2 linked regions of the Rhinolophus ferrumequinum genome follow. The protein of the gene in region 1 purifies or fractionates together with the protein of each later gene. This does not show direct contact. Links are inferred from orthologs where the notes say so. Each region holds a gene or a part of one and is shown on either strand. Other genes may lie near its edges. The genes, in order: KATNIP and CILK1.

Region 1 (15,521 bases):
TGGCAGGTTCATTCCCTTCCAAGGAAAGGCTCTCCCATGCAAGTCAGGTGTGGAGGAGGGAAAATCCCACCTGAGCTGCCTCTCTCCTCCCGTCAGGCCCAGCGGCGGTCCTGCAGGGTCGGGAGCCTCCGGCAGGTAACAGCTGCGCTAAGGCAGGTTGGCACCAGCCTGGGAGTGGAGAGCGGGCGTCCTGAATCGTCAGAAGCTGTTTATGCTGCAGCCGGGCTTCCAGGGCCGCGTCCCCTCCGGGAGGAGGCAGTGGGAGCAGCCCCAGCCCATCTCCACCCACGGAAAGCCTCGGTGGACGTGTCCGCTCAGAAGCCTCCAGCAGCTTCCCGTGGCCTCAGTAAAGTACAGAGTCCTCACCGTGGCCTCTGCCCGAGTCCCAGCCCATTCCTCCCCGCCCGCCACCCCCTGCAGCCACACTGGTCCCCGCGCTGTGCCTCACATATGCGGAGTGCTCCCACCACATGGCCTTTCACTGGTTCCTGCCCAGATTCCTACAGGGTTCTTTTCCTTCCCTTCCTTCAGGCTCCGCCTTCTGGTCCTCCAGGCTCCTCCTTCTGGTCCTTCAGGCTCCGCCTTCTGGTCCTCCAGGCTCCGCCTTCTGGTCCTTCAGGCTCCGCCTTCTGGTCCTCCAGGCTCCGCCTTCTGGTCCTTCAGGCTCCGCCTTCTGGCCGTCTCGGACCCCCCGGCTAGGACAGCACCCCCTCTTTCCCTCCCTCTCTCGCTGCTCCCTCTTTTCGTCTCCGCAGCACTTAGCACTATCTGACATACCACAGATTTACTTATTCGTTTCATCACGTGTCTCCCTCCTCCCACTAGCACGTGAGCTCCCTGCTAGCAGACTCGATGCCCTCCCTCTGTCTCCAGAAGGTGCTCAATAAATAGAGCAAATGGATGAATTTGTAAAATGAGGGCAGTGTCACCCACCTGGCAGGGCTGTGGTGGACGTGGAACTTCCAGCCCCGAGTTTCCTCCTGTGTGGTTGCACACTTCCACGGGCCTGTGGGTGGCGTGTAAAACACGGGCTAGTTCCGTGTTTGTGTCTGCCTTCTATTGATGGCACGTGAGAATGCTTTTCTATCTATGGCATGAATGTACAATTTTCCTTCTTCAAGTCAACTCGTTTAAGATTTTAAAAGAGAACGTCTGTATTTGCCAGCCTACACGTTGGCTTATCACACACACTGCAACCTTACGAGGAAACTTTTCTGAGAATCAAAAGACATGTTACTTATTTTCTAGTAGACACCTATGTATGGAAAGTGATTTCTTAGATAGCTATGTGTGGGGTCCGAGTCCCAGAATGTAGTTTCCAGGCTCTCGGCCTCACGTGGAAAGGTGCTGGCTCGGGTAGTAGAGGGTCGTCAGCTGTGACTAGTTGGCCATCAGCTGTAACCGGTTAGCCATTAGCCACCGATATAACTGCCGTGGCTGGGTTGGTTGGTTGGTTGGCAGAGAATCGGATGGCAGATTGCAGCTCCTGCTTCCTGTGTCTCCAACCCGGCCGCCAGCGAGACGATAGCGGTATGACTCCCCTATCTGTGGCTCCGTGGGTGTTCCTTTTTGGCCTCACCGTATTCTGTCTTCTTATGTGGGGAGCAGGACCAGAGTCCCTGCATGACACTATGTAAGAAAAACTTTTTCATAAAGATGCAGCATATGGAATCCTGGAGTCCAGGAGGAAATCCTAGATTTTGGATCTGTATCGATATCCTACAAATCCTGAAACAAAATATAACGTCTCAGGGTGTGTCTTGGTCCATAGCAGGGAGGCATAGTAATAAACATAAGTGTAAGGTGTGTCCTTGGCTTACCCATCTGCTATGTGCCTAGTATGCGGCTTGGTTACCACGTCTACCCAGGGCCTGAGAAACTGAAATCTCTGCTGCAGTGTTCTGTGTTGTTTCATTCTACCTCTAAGGGGTGGTGTCAGCCATTGCTTTAGGTCTTCATTGCTTGGCTTCTGTTTGCAGTGCAGGCGTACTGGCTGTAGAGTGTTTGTGGTTTGTGTCCTGAGGATGGGAGTACATCTGGTACGTCAGCAAAAGCAGTGAAAAGTAAGCTCAGAATTATACTTTTTCATTCAGCTAATATACATTAAAGACTTAGAACACAGCACTGAGACACGAAGAACAGAATCTCTGAGTACAACGGGAGCTTTGGCATTTGGGGGCAGGTTTTGAAGGGTGAGTAGGAGTTTTATACTGTAAGATCCGTTTGGAACGTCTGTCACTGTGGGTGTAGGGCCCTCACTGAGAATGTTCATTAGGTATCATCTTAGTCGTCTACTAAACACTGCCCTGAGCCCTAGGATATGGCACAGACTTTGCAGTCCGACACCCCTGAGTAGTAGTTCTACGAGTGTACCACCGAGAACTCCCTCAGCTGTGTGTCTCTCTCTCTCTCTCACACACACACACACACACACACACTTCAAACCGGCTTGAGTAAAGAAACAAATGTATTAGCTCTTGTGACTTAAGAGCCCAAGATGGCACTGGCTTCAAGCATGGCTGGATGCAGGGGTTAAACACGGTTAATTTAAGAGGGTCTGCTTTCTGTCTGCTCTCTCTCTCTCTGTCCTCGGTTCTGCTGCCTGCCTCTGTGTTGGTGTTGCTCCTTGGACACACGTCTCCATGGGACATAGACGGATGTCAATCATCCCTTGATAGAAATGACTTCCGCTGTGGTCACCTTTGTAGCTCTCGGCGCAGGTCAGCTAATCATTCCAGGGGAAGCGAGGTCGGGACTTTTCCCGCAGGTTCAGCCAATCCCTGAGCTGAGTCTGCTGGCCTTCCTCTGGGGCCACGCATAGCCCTGAACCAGTTGCATGTCCAGGAGACGCAATGCCCTGATTGGCCAGGCCGAGGTCCACATGCCCTCTCTGGTGGCGCTGGCAGTATTATGTCCACCCCCACCACACAGATGGAGCGTGGAGGAGAGGGGTTGCCCCAAGAAAAATTGCGGCCTGCTGGCAATTTGCTTCAGCTTTCAAAGCCTGTTTCCACCTCTTTAAAATGGGGCTACTGACCCCAGAGCTTAGCATTATTTTGATCCCACAATAGGCAGCCACAGAAAGCATGATAAATGGCAGCTAAGGCGGCCGGAAGAGCGGGCCCAGGGACCTGGAGCGCCTGCTCAGAGCTCATACACCGTCCCTCGGTTAAAATGTGACCCTCGGGGGCCGGGGAGTAACTCAGGTGTGTGGACGTGCTCTGTGCACTCTGCGCTGCTCCCAGACCCACTGTGGTTCCCAGCCCCGTTAGGAAACCATTCGAAGTTATTGGGCTTCTCTGCGGGGGCCTGACAGCTGCCATTGGACATTCATCGCAGGCCCTGGAAACCGACAGGGCCCTCTGAGCGGCGCGGACGCGGCCTGGGCTCCGGCGCGCCCTCACTCAGCCCGGTTTAGGAGACTCCCAGGATTCTGGCCTCGGGAAAGCGGAATCCCTGGAATACGGCCTGGGCCGCGTGCCTTTGAAACACAAGTGACTCTTGGCGTGTCTTTCCAATGCCATTTTCTTCCCCCAGAGACCATTAATGATGTGCTCAGTGATAAAATTTACACCGTCTCTGGGCCAGCGTTAGGGGTAAGATGACAAGAACTACAGCAATGAAAAGTGGCGCTGAGGCTCTGCTTCTGTGTCACGTCCACCCTCCTTAGGCCCTTTGCCAACTTAACTCGCCCTCCTCAGCACCTGTCGCCCTAGTCAAAACCCCACACCTTTGCCCATGCTGCTGCTTTCTGCTTGAAATGCTTGTCCCTTTTCTTGTTGCCCCAGAATATGTTCCAACTTGAAAATCTCAGCTCAAATGCCTGTCTGTCTACCCCTCTCTCTCTCTGTCTATCTCTCTGTGTATTTTACTCCGTCAATATCGGGTAATATATCCACTGTGTGCATGTACTGTCTTAGGGTCTGGGAAAACACAAGTGATCAAAACGGATACAGTCCTGCCTGCATGGAATTTCCATTCTAGTGCAGGGGACAGCGCCATAAATAAGAGGCATCATAAATAAGATAAAGTAGGTATTATATTAGTGAGGGATTGGTGTGTGTGTGTGCACAGCTTGCAGTTTTACATGGGGCAGCCGGGGAGGGCCTCCCTGAGGTCAGTTCTGAGGCAAGCCTCGGAGGAGACGAGGAATCTGGGTACTGACCTGGGGGCCGAGCGTTCCAGGCAGAAGCAATGAAAAGTCAGGCCCCTGAGCGGGGAGCCTGCTGGGTGTCGACGGGGCCGCAGTGGGTGGTGGGAGCGGCTCGGAGACGGGCTTGGGGTCTGTGTGCAAGGCCTGGTGGCCACAGAGACCTGTGCAGAAGACATGATGCACCTGCCTTTTATCTGGACCCCCTGGCTATAGCAGGGACAGCACACGGCAGGGTGAGGGCAAAAGCAGGAGGCCAGCGAGGGGGCCTGAGCCAGGGGGTGGGGGCAGGTGGGGGAGAAGTGGTCCGAGGCCGGGGGGTCTGGTAGTTTCCACCTGGAGCTGATGGGTTGGATGGATGTGGAGGGGGGAGTGAGCAAGGCTTCGAGTTTCCTCATTCGGATCCGTCGCTTCATAGTTTATATATTTTTGATGGTCATTTGTCTCCTGTTTGTTGTCTTGGATGCTTTTGGTGACTTGACGAAAGTTATGGACAGATGAGTGTTCCCAGAGCTCCCAGCAAGCCACCCCGACCTTGCGGACCCCGGCCAGTGTGTGTTTGCTTGACTGGTTTGCACAGCGGCACGGGGTGTCATTCACACCACACGCAACATGAAAGGGGCCGAGTCCTGCACAGCTGCCCCTCACTGGTGGTCCAGTTCGGCCTCTAGGCAAGTTGATATCTGAATATATACGGGGGCCGAGCTTGTTAGACCATCATTGCACATGTAACAGCCAACCCAGTAAGCACTTGATAATGTTTGCTGAAAAACAGTGATGATAAACTTGGCACTTGACAAGGTTCTCACACCCTTGTGGGGTGCTTTATGGTTAATGTGCCCATTTCACAGCCTGACAAATAAAGCCTCAGTGAAGGGAAGTGTGCTGTGCTGGGAGGAGCAGTGTCTGGTGTCTGACCAGGCTGGGGTGAGCGTGGGCTGAGCTGGTGCTTAGGCAGCTGTAGCAGCTGTCGTCACAGCTGGATGTGGTAAAGCTAAGATGAGCCCAGGACCAGGCCTCCCCCTTCCGTATTCCCCCCGGCTTCCCATGGTCTGCCCCCCTAGGAATTTATGATCCGGCTAGGATTATAAAGGAGAACAAGAAAGAAAGGACCCTAAATGACTTCCGCTTTTCTCCTAATTACTCCTTAGAGCAGCCCTGTGAGGCAGACCTTACTAATGTCCCCTTTTTACAGATGAGGAAACTGAGGCTCAGAGAAGGTAGGAAACAAAGCTCAAGGCTCACCCCCTCAAGTCTCCAAATCCCCAGGTAGTTAGTGAGCAATATACATAGTTAAATGCTAACAATTTATCACTTAATCATACACTCTGCCACACTGTATTGTATGTTAATTTAATACTAATTTCAGGGTTTCAAAATGAGCTGAAAAGTGAATGCGGGTGAGACTGTCACGGGGAGAGAGACTTTGGGAACTGAACGGGCCTTGGGGAGGATTGGGTTGGAGGCTGCGGGGGAGACGGAATGAATTGTGGAAAAGGGAATACCACGAGGAAGGCATGTGCCGGGGGGAGCCTGGGAGATGGTGCGATTTAAAATGACGCAAGTCTGTGACGTACGTGTACCGTTCATTGCAAGCTTTCCTCGGTGCCAGGTAACTGTGCTAATCCCTTTCCACCGTCACTGCCTCCTATGAGAGAAAGGAAAATCCTCCCGGACGGTGCCGTCATGACCTCTGTGTCACAGTTGAGGAAACTGATGGCAGTGCTAGGACTTGCATTGGAGCTAGTGCGTGTCCTCCCCGCTCAGGCTCAGTGACGTCCCGTCAGAGGTGGGTGCGTGGTGAATGGTGGGGAGTGAGGAGAGGCCCGGCTACTCAACTCGTGTCCCACCAGCCCCGTCTGGGAGCTTGCTGGAACGCTCCGTCTGCAAGCCCTGCTGCATCAGGGCCTGCCTTTCAGCACCACCTCCAGGTGATTTGTGTGCACGCTTAGCGTTGAGAAGCACAGGCTGCTGAAGACTTGGGCTGGAGGTAGGCCTGTGCTCTTCACGTCTTTCTGATGACCTCTTCGTCCTGGCAAGGGCGAATGAATGTTCTGGAAGGGTTGGGGTGAAAGCCCAGGGCAGCCCACCACGGCTGAGCTCTTTGACGTTCTCCTAGTTCTCATCAAAAAATGTCCATCGAATGTGTCGTTCTGTACTGTAACATATATCAGTGGTCATTTGCATGTTTCAAATGGTTACGTGAATTGCCTTGGAATAGGATCCCGTTCGTGGAATATGCATGGGATGGCTGTGCTTGTGTCTTAAGTGGGGGGTGGGGTGGGTAATGATCACTTCAAGGACGGCGGGGAAGATCGAAGGAGAATCACGTATGTGGAGGGGCATGCTTAAATTGTCCTCATACATGTGCTGTTATTCTAGAAGGAACTGAGACTCTTCCCCTCACCCAGTGTCCTGCAACCAGCTCTCCGCAGCCCTGGACGAGGAGTAACTCGGTGGGTTCCCCAGCCAGGGGCCCCTTTCCTTGTAATCAGAAAGAGAAGTGACGGCAGAAGGAGAGGGACCCGGACAGGTTGAGATGGACAAGCAATTACCACCCACCTCCGAGGCCGAGGGAGGAAGGGTAGCCCGAGAGGCCCAGGCAGAAAGCTGCGAGGGAAGGGAAGCTGGTCCAGGGCTGCAGAAGCTGGAGGACGGGAGTGTGGGCAGCGATGGGTGGTCGGCCGGCCGGTCAGCAGTTGCCCAGAGCCCAGAGCAAAGGAACAGGAGGAAGAAGGGAAGAGCTATCCTATTTGGTTAAGGGGGTTTGGGTCACCCTTGGATAGGGTTCTGGAGGGAATAGTGGGGTTGAAGCCGGATTTTGACAAGAAGAGAGCGATGGAGATTTTTGTTTCTTCTTCTCCCCAGGATAATTCATCCAAACTGCATTTCTGTCACAAATGTCTCACTTGCCCTTTAAAACTTAATCCCTGTAACTTGTGACTAGAACCAAGCTGACATGGTCTCTTTAGTCTATTCCTTGGCAAAATAATAAATAAATAAGGAGCATAGAAAATTGTGAAGCAGTGTTTCTGTGGGATTCTACTTTGTTTAAAAGAATGTGTGTTTGTGTGTATTTTACGTATAAAATAAAGAAAACCATCTGGAGGACTATATATCAAATTATAATGGGGGGTTACTGTATATACATATGTCACTTTCAATATGTGTAGCTTCATTAATTTTCCCTCCATAAAGCTGTAAAAAAACATATTGTCAGATTGTGGTAGATGACGTAATTCTTTGGACTGAAAATGAAGAGACACTCAGCTGAAACTTGTAAAGCAGTCACGAAGTGGTCCAGAAACTTCTTCAGGCGTGGGTAGGTGTAGGGGCTCAAGCTCACGTCCGTAGAATCTCTCTCCCTCTCTCGGATCCCCTGTCTTCTCATCAACTTCATTCTCACGCGGTTCCAGGCTTGCGTCTCATCAGCTCAGCACCGCGGTGGAAAGAGAGCAGCTTTTTCCCGGGAGTGTCAGCCTAGCCCAGGGCTGACTTTCTAGGGCTCAACCCAGACCAGGGAAGCAGTGCAGCGCTGTGTTGGTTGGCAAGGCCAAGGCCAAAGTCCTGTGACCCAAGAGGATAACGAAGGAACCTTCAAGGGCATCTCAGGAAGCCAGTTCACTGAAAGAAGGGGCCGAGCGGTTGCTCAGAGCAAACCCAGTCTGGGGCCAAAACCCCAAATGTCTGCTCTGGAGGGACCTTCATTCTCTGAGTCATGTATTTGTGTAATGACGGAGTTGTTGATAGCAAGCATACATTTTTCTCGTGTGTTGGCAAGAGAAAAACGTGATCCCCTCCTAAAACAACTGATTTGGGACGCCTTCGGTTAGGACAATTGAGATAAGTCAATCAGGAGCCTGGAGAAAAGAGAAAGCCCAAATCCTGGCCGAGCCCTTGATTTTATGGGGCCTGGGAGAAACAAACAGGAGAAATGATCTCGATTTTCGTACGTCGTTAGTTGTGGTGAGGCGCCCCATTGGGCCATCAGGCAGCCAGCCTCTGGGGCTCTGGGTCGCCAGAGGGACGCGTCCAGGGAGCCGGCTTGCGTCAAGGTCCGCCCCGCCTCGCGGCCACCTGTGCAGAGAGTGTGTACTGCCCCCCCGGCCTCAGGACGTGCTTTCCTGCTTTCTGATATCACACCGCTCTGTTTCTTCATTTCAGGGTCTCACTAAAGGACATGTGCCAGACTTTGATGAGAAACATGATGAGTATTTAATATTGCTTCAGCAGAGGAACCGGTAAGGACGAAGCCGCTTGCCGGCAGCCCCTCCTGTTAGCCAAGTAAAAACCCTGTGTGGATGTATTAGCAGCACGCAGACTCTGTTCACGTAGCGAAGGGATGCCGTTACCTCCACACACAGGCTCGGCGTATTCTCTGCAATGCCGGCTCTTATTTCCCCATTCACTCATGTCACGGCATCTTTTGATGGAGCTGTAGCAAACTATTCGACGTGTAAGTGCCGCCTCTTGCCTCCCTGCTTCCGTTCTGGGAGAAGGTAGGTTTGTCCCGAAAAGCCAGACCTTGGCAGGGCCTGTGCATTGGCCGCCTGAAGAGCCCGTGCTGTGATCTTCCAGGCTGCTCCCGTCCTTTGAAATCAGAGCCTGTAATCACGCCTTGTTATGGAAAGGTGGTGCCATTGTCCATTTGTGTTTGAAGTTGGTCCCTACGTCATCATCTAAGGTGATGTTAGTGCGGATTTTGACTCGGGAGTGCCGGTTCTTGAAAAAGCCTGCGGTAGATGGCAGTGGTTAGTGAATAAGGTCAAAGCAGTGCGGTCTGGTTTGAAAGAAGTCTGGAGGGCTGTCCAAGTTCATTTCCGGTTTGCTGTGGCTTATTTGCAGGCCTGGCACCTTGCAGTAAGCCCGGTCTGCAAAGTCGGATGCTAGGAGGGGCCGGGCAGTGAGTGAAGCCCACTCAGTGGGTGAGGACAGTTGGGGGCCTGGAATTCTCGCTTCCAAGCTGCTGGGGCTCAGGCCACTTGTTGGTGGGAACACAGGCCCAGGGGTCCATATCCTCCCAAGACTAGGAGACAAGCTGGAGATCTGGGTTTGTGGGTTTGAGTCGTGACAACCGCCTGTGCTTTAATAAAATGTTGGTAATGAATGCAAATGAAAGTGCGAAACAAACGGACGAACGCCGTAGGCCTCTCAGACAGACCTGCAGGAGGCGGAAGGATGGCGTGCTAATTTGGGCCTTTGTGTTAGGGAATTAGCTTGGGGTCTTGCAGGTGACAGAGTCTGGGGTCATCATCCTGAATATGGACTCTGCCCTTCTCTGACAACCAGGACCTGTCACTTGGGGCTCCCGCGGCCTGTGGCATGGGACAAGTTTTTAGGTGCAAGATAGTCCCCTGTGTTGTAGGATTAGTGTTCCCACCCACCGGCCACTTTACTAATTCCGTTATGCCCCCCAGTCTCCATGACAACACCCTCGCCGCATTTCCAGGTGCCCCTGGTGAGGCCGTACCTCTCGCAGTGGGGACATCTGAACAGAAATCTCTCCAGCACCAGCCAGAAATGCCAGGCACTCCGTCTGTGCCCAACTCCTTCCGACCCAGGGGCGAGCGGCAACTACACTAGCTGAAGGCCAGTTAACTCAAACGTGGCTTTTTAATCGTCGTGGATGCCACAGAGCAGGCTGTTTTTACTCAGTTCCTGGCAAGCTGGACGGGGGTCCCCGAACCCCTGTGTGATCGTCTCATCAAATCCACGTGACGTGTCTGGGAGGAGAGTGTCAGATGAGCAAATGGCTTCTCATTAATCGGGGATCAATAAGTGTGCAATCAAAGAGGCACCAGCCGACAGCGCGGAGGAGAATATACGGCGACGAGGTGGCAGCACAAAGGCAGCTAAAAAAATGTATCAAAACTGAGCTGCCATAAAATATGGGGGATGTGTTGTCACCGAGAGGGAGCTGGCTGGACGACAGGAAATTAGAAGGTAGAGCTGGAAAGAAACAGCTCCAAATGGAGACACATGCAGAGAGGGTGCCGCTGAGCTATCGTCGGCTGTTGGTTCCAAGGCACCTTTTCTGGAGGGCCAGCCACGCGCCAGGCACCTCGTCCTGTCATCTCGTTTTATCTGCACACGACCCGACGAGGCAGACACAGTGGCTGCCCTGTTTTACGTACAAGGACGTGGAGACCCAGAGAGAGAGCTGTGTGCCCAAGGTCAAGAAAGTCTACTTTCTCATGTAGACTTTGCTCGACATGGTCATAAATAATCAAGAGGAGAGAAACCTGCCAGGGTCGCCAGTGGCTCCAAGTTCACTGCGGAGGGGCTTTGTGGGAATCAACTGCGGTTTGCTTGGAAATCCAGTTATAGGACCCAATGGAACACCAGCCGCTGAGCTTCCCACTGGGCCGAGAGGGCGATGAAAACCCGGCTGCTCCCCGGGGGTGCCTGGTGACCTCAGAAGGGCTGTGCAAGAAGAAAGAAAAGAAAAAAATAAAATAAAAAAAAAACCAGAAAAAAAAAAAAACCACACACACAAAAAAAGAAGGGCGGTGCAGTCACTGGGCGCGTTCTCAGGGGAGTCAGTCCACAATACAGCGGCCCCAAGAGGCTGAGTGACACTGCTCTTGGATTCATCCAGGAGGAGTTCACTGAGTACTTGCTCAGAGCCCAGATTCCCACCAGTGTGGGGAGAACACTGTGATGGGGGAACGCAGACTATCTTACTTTCTGCTCCTATGCTGGGAGGGATGGAAACCCATGGTCAATGGTCCTTAGGCAACAAGGAAACTTACTGGCTCACGAAATTGAGAAATCCAGGATGACAGTCTGGCTTCAGGCATAGCTGGATCCAGGCTCTCAAGTTACGTCCGCAGAATCAATTGTTCTCCGTCTCTCAGCTCTGTTTCCCCGTGTTGGAGTCATCGTAGGGCATTTCCCTCTCGGAGGCCAAAGCGGCCACTGGCCACCCCCACACCTACGTCCCACCTCGAGGGGAGGAGAGCACTTCTGCCCTCAGGGTTCCAGCAGGAGTGCTGAGAAGGACGCCCATGGACCTGACTGGGGCCCCAATCTCACCCCTAAGCCCGTCTCCCCGTGTCGGTGAGGTGGCAGGTCTCACTGGCCTCTCCTTGGCTGCCCAGTTAAGCTGGGGGTGGAGTGAGCCTCACCTAAACCACGGGGAATGAGAAGGAAGGAGTGGAGCAGCACCCAAAGGGGATCCACAGGCAGGGCTGCGTTTGGGAGGTGGGGGGAGGGGTGCCGGGTGGGCAGAAAGAACAGGTGTCCGCCGCACACCCCTTGCCTGGAGGAACCGCCCTTCCCTCCCAGCTGAGCACCAGGCCACCTGTAATGGAGCCGGAAGAAGCAGAAAGGGATCACGGGCTCCAGGAAAGGCCCAGGGGAGGGTCGAAGAGGTGGTGCCCAGCTCACCGCGCACAGACCCTCCCCGAGGACGCTGAGTGATTCTGGTCACTCAACTTCCTGAAAGACGGAACCACGCCCAGCAGAACTCAGGGAAGAGCAAGCAGTGTGACCAGCGGGCTGGGAGGTGAGGAGCTAACGGCCCAGGGGGGCTGTACAGACTCTCGATGGCGGCTGCGAGGCCAGATCCAGTGGTGTTTTTGTGTTTTGGAAAAGGTCACTTGAGGGAAACTTACAGGAAAACATGCCCACCTGACAGGCAAACCCACTGCCTCAAGAGGAGATTGAGGCAGAAAGAAGGAAAAGGGGAACCAGCATGCACGGGCGATCCTGCACGGGGCGGATCCATGAGGTGGGGTTTCAGCCTGGTCCCCTGTTTCCATCCCCGTAGCAGTTCAGACACGTGGAGGTGTTTGCGGTCTCAGTGTGAAGAAGAGGAAACCTAGGGACGTGCCCCAGGTCACACGGAGGGGGATATGGCAAGGCCTTGGGTGGTGACATCCTAGAGGACAAATACCAGAGCCTGCGGGCCACCCAGGTTCCGGGAGGAGCAGCAGGCTTTTTGCACCACTGCTCTGGGTTCCTCCACACTTTGAGGCTGGACTCAAATGCCACCACCTCCCAGACGCCCCCAGCTTGGAGCCACCGCTCTGCCTGGGCGCCCTCGCTGCTCAGAGCCCCTGTGGCGAGACTCCTGATGAGGAAACAGAAACAGCGGAGCCGGTGGCTGGGAGACAGGCTGCAGGGCCTTGTGGACCTGACTTTAAATCTGGCTGCTTCCTGGGCCAGCCTTGGTCAAGTTCATCTCAATCCCAGGGCCGGGAAGGACTCAGCCTGACAAGGCACCTGCAGGGCCTTCGTGAGGCCACCACCCCGGTGCGGGGGCTTCCTCATCACCGTTGTCATTTCAATGTGAAACGCCTTCTCTCTGAGCTGCCAGCCGGATCCTCCTCGAATGCCTGGCCCTTAGAGAACCCCTCAGTTGAGCCTTTGAGTAACTGAGGTCCGGGGGAGCCACGTGGCTGGACCCCGGTCACATAGCAACTTCCGCGCTCAGAGACCCAGACAGTTCCGCCCAGAACCCACTGCCACTAGGTCCACGAGCAGCACGTTGCCTGCCCGCTGAGCTGGGCTGAATCCTCTCGCCACCTGGGACCCTGCTTGTGCCCTGACCACCCACCTGTCAGGCATGTCCTGTCCCCGTCACTCCCTCGTGATGACCTGTGCTCTCCCTCCTGGTGCTTCCACTTCCACCAAAGAGCTCTCCGTACAAGGGATGCAAAGGTCAGCACGGATAAAGCGGACACGATGGCTGCGCTGTGCGTTCAGCCCACGGAGGCTGTATTCGGATGCACGGCCATGTCTCCTCTCCCCACTGGACCTGGAGTTCCTCGGGGCCACTTGTTCCAGAACTAGGTTCTGAGTGCATTGCTCCCCGTTCCTGGCACTCAGCACGGTCCCCGGGCCCAGGGCTCGGATTCTGCTGGGTGGGAAGGAGACTGAACAGACACAGACGCTGACCTGTAGGCTGCCGTGTGAGACGTGGTAGGAAACAAGCACAACCCGTGAGAGAATAGAGAGCCCAGGCGTCAGGGGCGGGGCTTCCTTCTTTGATGGGGCAGGGACCGAATCTGACTCCTCTGAATCCCCTTCACCGGGGCAGCTTTTTATGCAAAGCAGGCCATCAGTTACACAAACCCCACTTTTCTTTTGACGCCACACGATCCTGACTGATGAGCTCGGCTGCCGCAGAGGCGTTCCTTTAGTGGGTCCTTTCACAGTTTGAATAATTATCTCCTCATTTATCAGCTTCATAAATCCACACTGTCATAAATCATCCTGCTGAAGGAGAGGCCCACGTGGAGGGCCAGCCCCGGGTCCTGGGGACCAGGAGACCACCACAGTTGGTAAGGTAGCATCAGGGAACGGGCAGCGTCTGGAGGGAAGTGGAGGCAGGCCCCTCCTGCCTAGTGGTCGGATTTTCCGCCCCCACAGCCCTGCCCACCCGAGTCGGGGCTTCCCAGGGCCTGGGCTCCCTGCTGGTGTGTCCCAGGACACTGCGGGCGTCCCCGGAGCCCTAACTGTTTGCTCCAGTGAGTGTGGCGAGTGCTGTGTTTGGAAACTGTCTCTTAGTTACATGTGTTTCCTTCTGTTTTATGCTGTTGCCCCGCAGTTGCCCCACAACCTGGCATCTCCTAGGTTTTCCAGGGCTGGCAAGAGATAAACAGTCTGTAATGAATGTTTCTGCCACGCTGGTTAAAAAGATGGATCGTGCAGCAGCTCGGGAAACGTTTTTAAAAGCAAACAGAAATCCCCATAACGCCACCCTACCTGAACAACGGATTTAATGTTTACGTTTATCACCTTCCACTCTGGGTCCACGGACACACTCTTTTTTTCCCACTTTGCGCTTCCCACGTATGTACCGTTTTTATTCTGCCTTCTCCCCGCCACTCACACACTGAACAGATCCTAAGAACACCCTGCATTTGGACAGATTCTTCATCATTCCAACAGCTGCGTGAGGTCCCAGGTTCCACTTTCCTGCTGTGGGACATTTGAGTTGCTTTCAGGGTTTGGTTCTGATTGAATGCTGACCATTGCTTCTGATCAGGAATGTACTTACTGGGCAAAGACCAAGCATACGGCCTTTTCTATATTTTCGTATCACTTCTCAGAAGGTTATGTCAGTTACCAGTGTCGTCTAATGTTTGTCTGTTTCAACGTCAGCTCGCCAGCCTGAGAAGCTGTCTTCTTGGTGGTGAAGACTCTGGAGCCAAAGTGCTTAAGTTTGCATCGTAACCCCGCCACCGTGGTAGCTGTGTGACCTTAGGCAAGTTACTTAACCTCTCTGTGCCTCAGTTTCCTTATCTATTAAATGAGGATAATACATGTAATGGCCCCCTAGGTGGCTGTGGCGATTCATGTCAATCCTCATTATTCACAGATTCTGTATTTATGAATTCGTCTACTCTCTAAAATTTATTTGTAACCCCAAAATCAATGCTTGTAGTACTTTCACAGTCGTTCAAAGACATGGCGGAGTGGCACAAAGGGTTAGTTGCCCGACGCAGGCACGTGTTCTCAGCTGAGGTGTGGAGTTGGGCAGCTCTGCCTTCAGCTCTCACCTGCGAACAAGGTCCTGCGTCCGGTGTACTGAGGGCCATGCTTCCCACAGTCGTGTGCTTTTTGTTGGTGAGTCGGCCGTGTCCACCGGCCCCCGGCCTCGTTGAAGTGCTGTTTAGTGGTGCTAAGTGGGAGGGGGCGGTGAGGTCCCCACAGAGAAAATACACACCCGTGTGAGAGAAGTTTCATTCAGGAGCCAGTTACGATGCCGCGTGGGCCATGAGGGAGTGTTAACAAATCAGCTCTCTATTACCGTGTTTCCCCAAAAAGAAGAGCGGGTCTTGTATTAACTTTTGCTCCAAAGACGCATTAGGGCTTACATTCAGGGGATGTCATCCTGAAAAATCATGCTAGGGCTTATTTTCCGGTGAGGTCGTCTTCTCGGGGAAACACGGTATTATACACAAACTGCCTTTCAGCAGAAATGCTCGTGAAGTGAGGAGATGTATTGATCAGTTGCTGAAAAGGTGAGCAGAGGCACACAGGGACCAAATCCTGGGTCTTCCCCCTAGAAGCGGGGGTTCCGGTTCACTCATTCGGTGTGTGCGGCAACTTCGTAGAACGTAACTAGCAAGAAGAATGGGACTCGCCTACTGATGTAAAGCGTGTAACAGTCTGGCACGTAGCACACACGCTCTATGGGACTGATTCGTATTATTTTTTTAAATTTACGTCTTGCTCATTGGCTAGGAACTTATTTGATCCCTGAGGAGGACGCACGCTTGTTGCCATGTTATTGGTTGGTTGTCTGTATTTCTTCTTGTGCCGAAATAAATCGAGCTGACATGGGGGTGCAAAAGGGGTCGGTAACGTCACCAAAGTGTTTGGCCGAAGAGGACACGGCACCCCATTTATGGCATTGGGG
Region 2 (15,521 bases), on another chromosome or scaffold:
CTCTGGCGACCAGACTTAAAGCAGAGGTGCCTTGAAGACTTGGACTAGTTAGTATATGGTAAAGTGCTTGGCCCACTGTAAAAGCTAAATCAGCAAAGAAATCACTGGGAGAGGCTGAGACTCATAGGAACTTCCAGAAAACTGGAAAATGTAAGCATTCACCTATTATTGTCAGATACTTTTCTTTTTTTGAGTCTTTAAGCTGGGAGCTTTCTCTACTAAGAACATCACTAACAAGAAAATACACAATAAGGAATTTGAATTTATAGATCCCATTGAGAAGTGTGTTTCTCTCTCTCTCAAATAAGAGTCCGCTTTATTACTGTGAACTCTAAGTACAGCGAATAGGAGGAGATCTGAGTTCTCTAGGGTACCCTCTTAGTCACAGCCTTTACCTCTTGCCTAGTGGTCATTCTAAACTGACTTCAAGAGCCCTGCTCACTGCAGTTCCGTGCTCATATGCTGCTTGCTCTCTCCATCCGGAATGACTGCTTCTTCCTCACTCGGCTACTTCTTTCTACTCAACCTTCAAGATTCAGTTCAGGAATCATCCCCGTAGGAAGCATTTTCTGATTGTTTTAATTGCCTCCTGTTTTCCCATTACACTTGTGCTTGTATCACAGCACTTAAAACTGGTATTTTGATTATTTTTGTTTCTTTGCTAGTTAGTGCACTGGGTGGGAACAGGGATCACATCTCAGTCATCTCTGTAACCTTAGAAGGCCAAATACATTGCTTGATTCACTGTAAATGTCTGCCCAGGCCTCAGCTGTCTCATCTGTAAAGAGACGGTGTTGGATTTGGTGACCTTTAAGGTCCTTTTCCATATGTGACATTCTATGATTAACTTTACCACAAATTACCTGACAGATCTGGTTATATTGAAGATTTATTTAGTATCGTACCAGGGTCTAGCACTATGCCAGGTTGATAATAGGTGCTCAAAAAAATTGGTTGAACTAACAAATAAAATGCCACATGGATATATGATGCGTGTCTCAAAAATGAGGAAAGGAAACAGGAAACCTATAGTACAGACAGCATCTTTCTTCTTCCCTGATCTCCTGTGTTACAGTAAGAGTTCTAATCCATTACTACTTTGATTTTGACAGTATGATAAAAACAAGAAACTATCGAATTTGGGGTTTTACTACAATTTTCAACTCAAATACCACCTGAAATAAGTAGGTACTCGGCTGTCAGCCAGAGTTTTTCACTTTATTTTTCCTATTTAAGTTTGACCTAAACCTCACCCTTCACTTGAGTAGCTCATGTCTTCATTTTACTCCTGTTTTACTTATGGGGTTAACGAAATATAAAAAGTTAGGTGCTTAACCCTGGTCAGAGAACTACTTTTGGAAGTTTAGGGGATAGTCAATTACTGCTTCTCCTATCCTCCGGATTAATAAATTCATTCAGCTATTCATTTAACCAATAAATACGTGAGCGTGTACTATAAGCTAATTAGTTTGGTATCATTTTACCCTTGATTCATGCAACCCTCTCCAGAGATAGTTTCTCGGATGGACAATTTATCCAAAGCCACAGAAAGGCAGCACAGGGCAGACTACGTATTCCAGCATGCCACAGTCCTATGCAATTTGCGTTGCCAATCTCTGGAGTTTAGCTCAGACTCTCCATTTGGACCGCACTGACGCTTCTCCGGCCCTCACTGCTGTGGGGTGAGACACAATCCTTCTAACCCCAGGCCGCCAGCACCGCCTGCCAATATCCTACCCAGGGGACTGGCGTCACGGGTCAGGTGCGTCCTAAACTCACGGCCTCCGAAACGGGCCCGAATCGCCTTTTGTGGGCACGGCTTTCCAGAGGAGGCGCAATCAACAAGTGTCTCCGCATGCCCAGGCCCCCTCCGGGTTTCAGAGGCTGCGACGGCTCACCTCCATCTATGCTCACTGCCTTTGATAAAATCCCTCAAGAGGGGCGAGACTGGTTCAATGTCTTTAGCGAGCCGCGAAGAGGCATTTTTCTCGGCCGTCCTGCAAACCCGCTCTCTGCACATCGAATCCCGGCTGAGGGGTTCAGCAACCAAAAAACCCCAGAGAGCGGTCAAGGCGGGCACCCACTCCACTCCCTCTCAGGCCAGAGGTCCTGATGGGTAGCGGCCGTGCAGCTCCCGCTTCTCAGCCTCTTCTGGCTCCCCTGGGGCTTTCCCCCAGGCCCGGCACCTCCTGCACACTGCACCCCCGCATCGCCTAATCCCCTGCCCCCTCCTCAGGTTACCATGCTGGCGGGCCGGGCGGCCGCGGTCGAAGGGCTCTCTGCGCCCTCTCTGCACCGCCCCCCGAGGAGGTGTGCTGGGTGTCTGAGCGTTTACTCCTGCCTGTCTGCTGCAGCCGGGCTTAGTAGAGTTCTCGGTCGGAGAAGCGCACCAGGCAGCGGCAGTAACTGCGGGCCCGGCGTACGGCAGCCATCTTCGCGGGGCAGGCGGCCAGATCGGGGCGCGCTGGAGCGGGGGCACGGGACACGGAGAGCGGAGGGACGCCCGTTGCCAGCCGAAGCCGAAGCCTGTGTGACAACCAAAGCGTCGTCCCTGCTGGAGACCCCGGACGCCGCTGCAGATCTACCCCTCTGCTGCGGAAACCTGCGCCGGCGCACCGAGCGTGCGCAGTGCCGCCGCCGCCTGCGTCCGCGGCGCCGTTCCACCGCCGGGCGCTTGCTGCCTAGTAGAAGGAGAGCGGGCGTGGGCCTACTGTGTGCCGAGGCATGATGTCACCAATTGGCCGCACCCCAAACCCAACCCACTTATTCGGCTCAATGAACACTTATGCAAACTTGAAAAAGCGTCAACTCAAAAATGTCTGTAACTCAAATTAAGAGTTGAGACCCTAAAGCGACCAGCCCTTATGAGCATCAAACTACGCTCGCTGCACGCTCCTGGGCGACTCTAGCTGTAGTCCACGCCAGGAATGCAGGGAAACAGTGAAACTCGCCTACAGTCACAGGCTGTTATAACGATTAAACTTTTTAAAAGCACGGGTCTGGGGTTTGAGGAAAAGATGCATTTAGGAGAGCAGCAAGGGGAAAGGAAACTCAGCGATCGCAAGGAATCGCACTACAAATCCCATCATGCAATGGGGTAAGGACGTAGAGGCTACACGGCCTTGAAACCCGAGTCCTGCCCAGACAGCGCCGGGGAGACACTCTGGGATTTGTAGTCTGCTGTTCCGCGTGGAGCGCCGGAACTTACACAAGGTACTTGCCCCACCTTTTAAAGCGCAGATACCTAATTTCACGTCCCCGGAAGGCGCTCTTATTTATCAGGCAATATGTTATTTTCCCACACTTTACATTGTTTTAAATACGGAATTTTGCAAGCTCTATGAAAGCCTATAGTCTTATAGCCACTTACATACGTCATTCAGCAAACATTTTTTGGAGTTTCTAGTTTCTACTAGGTACCAGGTACTAATGGTCATCAGGATTCTAAGACCCTACTTTCAGCGAATTAACAGAATTTAAATCTCTTAAATATTGTTTTATTCTGGAGATCTTAGAAATGCGGTACATCTTCGGCAGAAAAATAGAGGCAAAAAGGGGGCGGGCGGCGGGGACGGAACGGTGAGCTACAATATGGAAGCCCAACTGCTGCCTCAATATTAGGATCCACCTTCGGATGAGTGTGATTTTAGTTGCACCCTAAATCAGCTACCTATAAAAAGTACCTTTATGTTTAACGGAGGCCAAAAATTTAATAGTTTTTAAAAGAGACTCTAGGGTTGAGGTCTTTTAAGGATGATTTTCCTCCCAATGTTCTCTTTAAAAAGATTTTGAAATTTAAATCTGGAGGATTAGATGTAAAAACTTAAAATAGAAGAAAATTATATATGTGAATGATGAATACAGAAGATCAGTTTTGCAAATGAAGACTGAGGTATTAAAACATTTTGGGAACTACTCTATTCGTTAAAGGTGTTGAATGCTAATTTAAGATATCTTGGTTAATTAGCACAATGGTTTCTGTTAATCTAGCAAATAAACAATAAAGTTTAATAAAGTAATAATTAGTATTCGTAATGATAAACTGAGCACACATTTTATTAAAACGCTATTAGGTTTCATAGCTACTAATTTTCTATATTAGATTAGTATCCACTAGACCTCTTTACAGGACTGTGTTATTTCATCATATTATATTTATAGGGTTGTGATTTTTCTCCAGGCTAGAACTACTGACCTAAGCCATTTACTAACCCAGCGAATCCGTTCAAGTAGACAAAGATAGTCCCTCTATTTGCTAGGTAGACTTGCTTGGACAACTGAATTTGATGAAAGCTGATAATTTGAGATACTCTAAAAATCATTTTTCATGGTAGTAACGTAAGATACGTCTTCCTAACTTTTCATTAATAATGACATTCACTTTTCATTTTCCACAGGGTTTTTGTGTTGTACAGGTAAGCACAAAGGTAGATAAATGTTATACATTTGCCAAGTTGCCAGGTGATCCTTTCCCATTTAGGACAGGAAGTCTAAGAAAGCTCCACTCTATTGTATCTTGCAGGTTTCTTCAGCAGGAGCAAGGGGAGAGAGGCATTCAGGCCTTTTGTATAGATTTTTTAGGAAAAACTGTCTTCAATTCTTAGAATTCAGACATAAAAATAGTGAGAGAAAATTGATATGGTGGCTGGGGAATTTAAACTCAAAGAAAGATCCACAGTGTATAAAAAGGTTACTGCTTTATTAAATAAAATTGTGTTGCTTAGGGCAATGTGGTTTCCCTTACCAGCAGCAGCAGCAGAGCAATCTGGGGTGTGTGTGTGTGTGTGTGTGTGTGTGTGTGTGTGTGTGTGTGTGTGTGTGTGTGTGTGTATTTAAAATTTTTATTAAATATATGGGGTGACATTGGTTAGTAAAAGTATATAGGTTTCAAGCGTGCATTTTTATAATACATCATCTGATGCCTCCAACTAAAGTTTGAGAACCATTGGTTTGGGGCAATTATGTAAATTTAAATCAAGGACCTTAACGCAATTTCTTTTTCAAAGCCCTTCAGAGCCAGTCATTATATAGATGATTTAAGGTAATGTCTACAATATAATTTATGACACAGTGAATGTGCTTAAAAAGTGTTAAGTGTTAGATTTCATATAACTAGTTATAGAAGACAACTGTTGTGTAGAGCATATCTAGTCTGTTTCCTACCTGGATAACAATCCGGTCTTTCAAACTAAAGTTGCTAACAATATAAAAACTCTTAAAGTTCAAATGAATGCTAACAGGCAGTCAATTGCGTCTTTATTTTAAACATTTTTGTGGTAAAATACATGTAATACAATTTGCCATCTTAACAATTTTGAGTGTACAATTCAGTGGCATTGATTTCCCTCACGATGTCTTGAAATCTGTTACATTTTTTTCAAACCAGGAAAAATGTTTTCACCATGATTACCTGTAATGAAATGTCCCTAGAACGTACATCCACGGCTACCGTTTCTAAATCCTGATACTTGGTGCAGCCGATCTGCATGCAATAAGGCGTGCGTTTGGAGCAGAGATCGCGTTCATGGTCAGCTGGCCGCAGGCTTCCCTGGGCTCAGTCAGGCGTCTAGCCCAGACCGGAGCGCAACTGCTCCGCGCCCCAGCTCCGCGCCTCCGGAGGCCTGCACGCGGTGCAGGGACGCGCAGGGCCAGCGAGGGGAGCTGCAGGGTAACTTTTCCCAGGGAAAGCGGCCAGTCGTCCCCACTAGAAGCCTCCCTGCCTTTTGTTTGTTTTCCTGCTGGAGGCTGGAGAGCGGCCGGGTTCCTGCTGCTCTACCATGCGCTGCGCGGCCGGTGCGACTCGCCGGACCTCCCGGGCGTCCCTGCACGGACGCCTCGGCTTCTCCTAGCAGGGATCGTCCCCATTCCCCGTTCCCGAGCGGGCTGCTGCGCCCCACTTGCCGAGGAGCTGCGCTCACCGCAGGAGCGGGCCCCCGCCTGTGTTCACCTCGCCAGTAAGTGGGGTCAGGGATTTAGGGGCTTCTGTCGGGCGACATGTCACTCGGGGTGCTGGACTGAAGCTACGGAAGGACCCCTGTCCCGTGGAGCAGTGGAGGATCGGAGAGGGGAGGGAGAGGTTAATGGGTTGTAGTTTCTCTTTACGGTCATGTGGGTCTCTCCCTCTTGTCATGAAAACTCCCTTTTCCTCGGAGTCTGGAAGATTTTGATGGGTGTTTACCTTTTAGTGTTAAAGAGGGGAAAGATTCGTACCCGATATGAAGCCCCTTTAGTAGAACGTGGAGGACTTGCTCTTGGAATTTTCCTGACTAGGCCTTTGGCTGTCCCGCAAGGGCTCTGAGCAAGAATCCTCACACATTTATGTGCAACCATTTTTCACTGGGGTTTCTTTCTGCTCTGATTTCTTTCTTACTAATCTGAGAACATGTTGTGAGAGGGATGTTGAAGGATTTTCCAGAACAAGAGTTTCTTTTTTTATGCAGCTTTTAAAGCTGACTTGGACACTAACATTGAGGGCTTTTACTTTTAAATATAAAAGTAGTTTAATGCATCATTCTGTATAAAACACTGTTCATTTCCACTTAAAACTAAATAAAGATCTGCTTTTGCTAAAGCTCGACTGTGCTGAGAATACCATCCTGAATTTTGCACACAGGGCTAGATTTCTCTCAAGTATTGGCAGTTGTGGTGTGTGTGTGTGTTTTAATTTTGGCCTAGAGCACTCTTTGTAGTAATAGAAGTTTAATAGCTACAGTTTTCATTTCTCACCTTTTCCAATGAGTGGACTTTCTGGATGTGCCCCCATAGTGAATTATTATTGCGGGAAATAAAATTAAAATGAACTTTAAATTTGTGTAGTCAACATACAAATGATTAAGAATTTGTGTCTCAACTATATGCTAGCTTTGCTAGGAGTTCATGTATGCATCAATATGCACATTTGAAATACTTTGAGAAAACAATGAAAGCGCTGCTGTTTGGTAAAGAATCTTCAAGGCCTTTTTATCTATTTGAGGACCAGTAATTGTAAAATACTAGGCAGTGGTTGTAGAAATGAGAACTGTGCTGAGATCCTTTATGTGAAATGATATCCGTACCACTGCCCCCTCCCTAAGGTTCAGCTCTCTACAGTGACCCTGCCCACTTTTTACTTCTCCCCTCTCCACTTTGCCTTGTCCCTCTTCCCCAAAGTCAAAACTGGTGGCTGGGCAGGAATGGGCAGTCACATTTCTAAATAAGACTGGTTTAGTTGTAGATGATGGAGGGATGGTTTAGCTGTAGGTGATGGAGGGTTGATGGAGTCTGTCCGAGAAGGCAGAAGTCTGTCTTCCATGCCCAGGGAACTCATCATTTAGTCACAGAGAAATGGTCTTTTCTCAGTAAAGTTTCCTACCTACAGACTGTATGTAAATGAGCTACCAGGATAAAGAACAGGCCTTTGTCAGGGAGGGGGGGGCGGGTATTTCTGGATTGTTCAACATCATCAAAGCTCTTTTTATACTTTCATTGTTTGTTTTATTCTCATTGCTTTTTGAGGTTCCTCGTAAAGGTGGAAATTATGTCAATCTTTAACCTTTGGAATTATCTTTATCTTTTCCTTCAATTCCTTCCTCCTTTATGAGTCAAGACCTTTGAAATGTGATGTATATAGATTCCTCCCTCTATATTTTAATCCAGAACCTCACCCTTCCTCCCCTGCAGACTGGAGCAACCTCTTAGCTAGCGTCCCAAGCCTGGCTCTTTGTAAGTCCTCAGTAAATGTGTGCTGAATGAATGAATGAATGAATGAGTGAATGAATGAGATGCTCCTCTTTCTGGAATCTTCTGCATTCCTTCTGCACCAGTCTAATGTTTTTAAACTATCACTTCTTTATGTTTCTCCTTGCCACCTTCAGTTCCTCTCCATTCTCTGCTATCTCAAATCTAAAAAAATGTGCCTGATGTTTCAAGGTCTTTCATAATCAGGTCTCACCCCTCATATGGAAATCCTACTTTCAGTTCATCATACATCTTTGTGCTCAATGTCGTTTGGTCTTCCTGCTGTCCCACTGCGGAGTCGCTGCTCAGATTGCTCTCCCTAGAAACTCCCTCCCTTCATTCTACTCTGCGGTGCAAATCTTACCCATCCTCCGAGGAGGAGCCCAAGTCCTACTTCTTTCATAAATGTCTTCTCTAACTACTAATTTCTCTTCTTTCTTTAAAGTTTTAAGATTGTTTGTTAGCCCTTTGTTATACTGTCTATATTGATCTCTAATTGGTTTAGGCTATTTTAAGCCTCTTTAGGCAGGAGCCATATTTTATGCATGGCGATGTGGTACACTGGGCTTTGGAGTCAGGCCGAATTGAGGTCAGGGCCTGACTCCGCGTATTACTCGTGTGGCCTTGTGGGAGTTGCCCAGCATTAATCCTCTCACATGTCACGTAGGGGAAATGCCTCCCCCAGCTGGTTGTGCTGTGAAGATGGTCTACTGGCTGTACAGAGCCTGGCATAAGCCTGACAAAAATCTGCCCGTCCCTGGACCATGACTCGCAGAGGCCTGACCGTGTGGCAAATGTTTGGTCGATGTCTGTTGTAATAGACCACAAGTCACGGCTCAGCCACGAGGCCCAGAGGATGGGCAGTCAGTCATGCCGTGAAGCCTCAGTGAGGGTTATCCTGCCCTTACTTAAAATGGCTTGAGCTTAGGTTATTCCTGGCTAGAGCTCTGCTTCTGGGATCTGTTGCTGTTTTTCCATCTGAACCTTGCCAGGAACACGACCGCCTTTTAATTTTTTTTTTTTTTTAAACTGCTTTTCTTGCCTCAAGCTCCTCCATTTCATTTTGCAGGATCCTGCTGAATTGGAGTTTCACCTAGCCCTTCTATTTTCCTGCTTGTGGGGTATGTATGAGGGTCTGTGTTTATGGTAGGACTTCTTGCCTAGTGCTTTCTTGGCAGAAATCTGGGTACAGTGACCTTTCTGTATATGTTGATCTGTCAGCCTGTGAATAGTGTCTCACTTAATTGTAAATTCTCTCATCAGCAGTCTTTGACACACGTGGCGAGAAGGGCCTCTGGCTATAGTATCAGAAATCTCCTGTGTGTGGATCTCAGTGTTTGTGGTTGACGTGTTTGACTGGGAGAATGCGCGAAGGGAGGTGTGTGCTGGGCAACTTACACACATATTGTCTGAGGGTGGTAGTGTTACTATGCCCTTGGTTGTGGTTGTGCTTACCTTTGAAACACAGTTTTAACTTCTTTATGAATATACCTGTGTTTTAGATAATTACCTCATAAAAATAATTTAGTGAAGCAAATCATTTCGTGGGGCAAATTGCCTTAAAATACTAAGAAAGTGTGGCAGGAAGAAATCAGAGATACCTTTCCTTGCAGCCAAAGAGGAACTTAAAGAAGCAGTGCATGCCCATCTCGAGATGGGAAGGAAGGCTGAGGTGGGCACACGCTCAGTCTCTCTGTGCCTAGTGAGGAGCTGTCTGATATTAGGAAAATATTACTACTCAACAGATCCTTGAAAAATACTCAGTCCTAGTGGAAAGCTTCCGTTCCTGATTTCTTTCCAAGGAAACTGAAGCATACTTGCTCATTGACGCGTTGTGCTTTGAAAGTCGAAACCTTCATAGAAAGAGTGCTTGTGGTCAGACTTGCCTGTGCAGCTGGAATCAAATCCGATGTGCGCTGACTTGTGAAGTTGTCTGAGTTGGAAGAAAGCACTGTTCCGAGATCTGCCACTTTTTTTTTTCCCTGTATGTGGTTCAGGATTTGCAATACATTCATATACTTTTTACAAAGGGGGTGTGGGGACCATTGGATACATCTGTAACAGACTCTTAAAACGTTTCTTATGTTCACACATTAACAAATATGCTACTCTGAAGATAACAAAGGTCCCATTCCTAGTAGTTGGGTCCCTGGATCTCATCTGCAAAGTGGGGGTGTTGGATTATCATTAAGGTCCCTTACAAAAATAAAAATTAAAAAATCTAATTTTAGAGCCTGAAGTTTCCTCAACGTTACGCGGTGCCCATGTTGAGCTTCGGTCCTAATGAACTTAGCTATCCATCTATACTAATGAGCATTAGGTGCTACGTTACCTTACTTTACATTTTTCCTAAATTTTGTCATCCTAACTCAGTTTTTCAAAATGGAAGGGCCACAGTCGTGCTTCCTACTTCATTTGGTGCTTTCTTTCCATTATGCTGGGGGCTCTTAGTAGCCACCTGATAAATGTATAGCGATGGTCAAGAGAATGCAGGAGCCACATATTTTTGTGGCAAGATCCACGTGAGTCATTTTTCACCTTTCTGTAGGGATAGTTTGCCCTGTGATAAAGTGCTAATCATGTGATAATCATGTGACTGCCCTCGTGGTTACTGTACAAGATAATGGCTCAGAACCCAAAAGATAAAGTATCGTGGTATAATGTCCAACTACATATTTGACACTATCGTGAAAGTTAAGATCTGCATGAACTTGGAGTTGTCAGGAGACATGAGTTAATGGGTTTGTCCTCTTGGACACTGCCTTTGCTTCGAAAGTGAATCTATTGAGGATTGATTTAACTCAAACAAAACTGACTGAGAAAAAAGTAAGATGTCCAGGCTTACACGTTAGGTTAGCTGTTAAAAAGCTTACTTTTCTAACTCAGTGTAAGAGCTTTTAGAAGGATTCAGAATTTTTGTGCCCTAGTCCCCGTACAGTTATTCAATTTTGCAGAGAAGGGGTGGGTAGAGGGGATGGCAGTGGGGTAGGTGATACAGGAAAATCACCTATAGTCAACATTACCCTTTACAAACCTGGAAGCTGCTCATTCGTGAATGGATTCATTCAGCAAATCATTACTGAGCACCAGTTTGTTCCAGCTGTATGCCGGTGCTCATCTATCTACATGCGGAGGATACAGGTATGAACCTCACGAAGTTTCCGCTCTCAGAGAGCTCATGTTCTAGGGATAAATACAGTTTGTAGACGTAACCCTGTAACCTAAAGTAAATGAGTGGTGTGTGGAGACGGCCAAAGTGTTTCTGCTGATTTGCAGGGTTTCCTCTGTTTCAAGAAACTGAGGTCAAGAAACCGTGACCTGTAGGCATGTCCTGCCGGTCGCCTGCTTTTGTAAATTGAGTTGTCCTGGAACACAGCCGTGCCCATTTACTTCCATCTCGTCTGTGACTGCTTTTGTGCGCCAGTGGCAGAGTTCAGTAGTTGTGACAGAGACGTAGAGCCCTCAAAGCCTAAAATATTTACTCGCCCTTCGCAGAAAATGTTTGCTGACCTCTGCTCTATTTTATTTTTACAAGCCTTTACTTCCTTGATATGTGTTAATGATTTGTTCCTTGTTATACATGGTGGTGAATCATCTTACATTAAGTGAGATAAGCTCCTGAGTTAAATGTGCTGTAATATTTGCATAGCACTTGAATATGTAGTATGTTCTCATTCATCCGACCTTGCCCACCCTTAAAACGTGGAGGGGCAGTCAGGCAAGCAGCTGGGACCAGGACTATTGCCACCCTCAACAGCCCTCATTAAGCTGGGGGACTGTCACCCCAGCTCATCTACAGTTTTCACACTACTCAGGGTAAAGTTATTCTTCCTCCAGCTCTTTCACATTTCACTCTCCCTTCAGTTTTTTACATTCCATAAACGTAAAGCTGCGTGGAATGATGGGTCCTAGTTTAGAAATAATCTGCAAGTGATGGAAGACTCTTTTTTAAGGTTCGGGGCACCAGCTCCTTTGGTATTGCAGGAGAAGCCGTGGGAAGTTGTAGACCTTTCTCAGAAGCTAGGGATGATGGAAGAGAGGGAAATAAGACCAGTGTCTGGGCAATGGAAGAGGGCATGCCAGAGAACTGATGTTCTTCTCCCACCACGCTAGTTGATGCAGTAGCAGCTTCAGTGCACTCCTTTGTCAAGGTAAACGCAGACCAAGTTCCACATAAACAAGGTTTGGCCTTGTAGCTGCTGTCCCCAATGCAGAAAAAAGCATGTGTCCAAGAGGCAAAATACTTACAGGACATTTCTGCTAAAATATGAACACATATGTACTATTTTTAGTACCTTTTAAAGAGAAATCGACAGTGTTAACTTACCCTTGTAAAGTTATGACACCTTTGAACTAGCCTACGATGTGTAATTACATGAGGTTAATGTAAAGTGGAACTCAGAAGTACCACTGAATGCTTTCGCACACAACCCAGTTTTCCTATGAGGACAGATAAAAGTAATGGAATCTTTTCAGTGTGAAACAATTACAGCAACGGAGAAAAAGCTGCTCCTAAGGGTCTGAGTGGTGTCAGTGGGCTGGTAAACCGCAACTCCCAGAGAAGCCCTTGTTTGCATCCAATTTTCTGTCTCCTATCGTAACACGTGAGTAATTGTGGCATTTATTCAGTGACCATCAAAGTTCCAAAATAAGGAACAACTACCATTGTCCGTGGGCCCAGGCTCTGCTGCCCAGGCTGTGAATGAGCAGGGCACACCATACAACCTGCTGGCCTCGAGCAGATGTTTTTGCCTCCACTGGGGATTGAAGTCAAGGGGAGGGAATTGGGACAGATCGCAGGGAGGTTTTCCCCAGTGTCACCTAGCCAGGAAAACCATCACATTTATTTTAAAGATTGGCTAGAACTCTTTAAAAGTGAAATAAAACTGTCTTTCTTTGTTAGTTGGCTACAGCCTTACCCAGAGGCCAAAGGCCTGATCCAATGACATCTAGGGAGCGTTTCTGTGAGTCTCTGAGACTCAGTAATTCCAGCACTGTGGTGGGAGAGCCCAAGTGACCCGCCCGCATTAGCCTTTCTATAATATTTACGGTTCTTCCGTTTCAGAACTTCAGAACATTTCTGGTCAGGTTAAAACTTGATTATCATTACTTTGCACATGAAGAAACAGAAGCACCAAGAGTTTTGAGATACTTATCAAGGGTGGTACAAAAAACAAAGAGCCCCCTACCTGGAACTGCACTTCAATCACTAATCAAGTGCCTATTGTAAATGATAACAATAATAATAATAACCAATAGCAAAGACTAAAATTCAACTTTTGACCATTCAGACAGTCTTCAAGTAACTGCTGTGTGCAAGCGGAGTGTGAGGTTTGAGAACGGAGATGAAGGAAGTGTGGTGAGTGCCCTTTCTGATATAGAGGGCAGGTCTGCCTGTCCCTGACCACCAGGGAAGGGGTGGGGATTTTGAGGTGGGGACAGGGCGCTGCGGCATCTTGGGGAGAGCCGCTACCTGTGTCTGCAGGTTGGGGCAGGAGGCTCTGAAGAGGTGATGGTTGAGCTGGACTATGAGGGAAGAGAAAGGAGTAGATTCTGAACTTCGGGGCCTGGCTGAGGCAAAGGGTACTTGCCCCTCTCCGAAAGAGAGAAGTTGTGCAGTGTACCTGGTCCCTCGGGGTACTAGCTTTTCTTTGTTGACTTCTGTGCATGTGACGGTAAAAGTGGAAGCAGAGATCCATTTTTTTACTCCAACAAATGCGAGCTTGAGTCCTGACACAGAGAGGCACCGAATCACAGAGCATTAGAGCAAGAAGCCACCTCACTTCAAGTCCAATGCCCTGATTTCACAGAAATAAACCTGAGGACCAAGAGACACTCTGAGTCACAGGGGGTCTGTTCCGACTGGAAACTGGGACCCAGCCCCTCTTTGTCTGCATTCACTTTGCCTCCACCTTCGGCAGCCGCTGCTGGTGAGGTCCCTACTGGGTTCACTGATGTCTGATTGCAAAATGAGGCCAACTGGATCATGGTCACGTCACTGGTTTCCATATGTGAGCTACAAAGTACTTCCTCTAATTCCTCTCGTTCTCAGATCCTCAAAGGATTTCATGATCTTTGGATCTTTTGCAACCTTTCCCTTGAGTTGGGTGCAATCAGCCAGCTTCCTATCACAATCCCAGTACTTAGTTGTATAACCGTGGACAAGTAATTTGTGTCTCAGTTTCCTTATCTGTAAAATGGGGTGATGATAATGATAATAGTACCTACCACGGTAAAATTGTGAGGATTAAATGGATTAATATATGCAAAGCACTTGTAACACTACTGTACACATAGTAAGCACGAAAATTATTATTATTGCTTTTTTGGCTTATTTGATATGTTAGGAAGCTAAGTATGGATTAGTTATAATGAGTGATTTGTCCAAGTTAATTCTTGGAGTCAGAGCTGTCTTTTTTTTTTTTTTTTTTTTTTTTTTTTAAGATTTTATTGGGGAAGGGGAAGAGGACTTTATTGGGGAACAGTGTGTACTTCCAGAACTTTTTTTTTTTTTTCCAAGTCAATTTGTTGTCCTTTCAACCTTAGTTGTGGAGGGTGTTGTTCAGCTTCAAGTTGTCCTTTCAGTCTTAGTTGTGGAGGGCGCAGCTCAGCTCCAGGTCCAGTTGCTGTTGCCGTTGCCAGTTGCCATCCCTTGCAGGAGTCGAGGAATTGAACTGGCAACCTTGTGGTTGAGAGCCTGCGCTCCAACCAACTGAGCCATCCAGGAGGCAGCTCAGCTCAAGGTGCCGTGTTCAATCTTAGTTGCAGGGGGCACAGCCCACCATCCCTTGCGGGACTCGAGGAGTTGAACCGGCAACCTTGTGGTTGAGAGCCCACTGGCCCATGTGGGAATCGAACCAGCAGCCTTCGGAGTTAGGAGCATGGAGCTCCAACACCCTGAGCCACGGGGTCAGCCCCAGAGCTGTCTTTATAAGGACTGTCCATCAGCATGTTAACTAATTCCCAAGTTAATGGATGGGCTGCTGTATTCCATCCGATTCTCAGGCAGTGTTGACTGCCTATGCCGGGAGCTGTGAATTCAAATGCTGTCGGGGACAGAGGAGGAAATGTAAAAGCGCATACCCAGTTTCCAGAGGAGGAAACTGGGTTTCTGCTTGTTAAACAGTAAGGAATTGCTTTTCTCTTCTAAAAAAAAGAAAGAACAATTTTTCTTTCCCTCCAATCTGTCTTCAACCATGAGGGATTTTCCAGGCTGTCTTTTATTTCGTCACTTTTGATAGAGGCATAGGAACAGAGAAATATTATTCTTCCATTAAACAAGTGGCTGTGAAGGTGCTAATATACATGGCAACTTTAAAAAAAAAATGGCAACTGACAAGGAAGCCATTTTTGGGACAACAGGAAGGATGGGGCCTGTGATGAGCCGACAAGCCCATGCTCAGTCTAAAGGGATGGTGACGACCCTTTTCCAGATTTTTATTACCATAGAGGGCTAAAGGTCCCATGTGCTAGCTCTTCAGTTTCTCCAGAGAAGCCCCAAATCTGGATTTTTATGTGAAAGTTCCTGCTTTTAAGTATAGACTCAAAACATACCTCTGAATTCAGTCCCAGGTTGCTGGTTTGCAACCTCTGGTCCACATAATGTGGAATCTCTATGTGCTAATGTCATATACTCAGAGGTCTCAGCCGGAATTGTGAAGTCTTCTCCACTGTGCAAAGCTGAAGAGCAGTGTTCTCTATATTTCAAAAAGAAACACCCTTGTTCATTGCGTAAGTAAGCATGGACTTCTGATTTCATGCCTAAAACACTGAATTTTGAATGGATGAAAACCACTGCTGCCCTA

What was found.
Region 2: the proteins of KATNIP (region 1) and CILK1 purify together in Homo sapiens (affinity purification with mass spectrometry; 3 studies listed by BioGRID and IntAct, with this or other methods). This does not show direct contact. The link is inferred for Rhinolophus ferrumequinum from reciprocal best matches to the Homo sapiens genes KATNIP and CILK1.

What each region holds. Positions count from the first base shown.
Region 1 is NW_022680357.1:1,862,370-1,877,890, reverse strand, and holds the start of KATNIP (katanin-interacting protein), read left to right. Parts: upstream 1-6,689; coding exon 6,690-6,812; intron 6,813-8,314; coding exon 8,315-8,391; intron 8,392-15,521. UniProt on the Homo sapiens protein: May influence the stability of microtubules (MT), possibly through interaction with the MT-severing katanin complex.
Region 2 is NC_046286.1:20,732,047-20,747,567, reverse strand, and holds the start of CILK1 (serine/threonine-protein kinase ICK), read left to right. Parts: upstream 1-5,645; 5' UTR 5,646-5,954; intron 5,955-8,817; exon of another isoform or gene 8,818-8,837; intron 8,838-8,979; exon of another isoform or gene 8,980-9,094; intron 9,095-13,007; exon of another isoform or gene 13,008-13,075; intron 13,076-15,521. Other genes in the region: FBXO9 (F-box only protein 9), read right to left, coding at 1,899-1,904.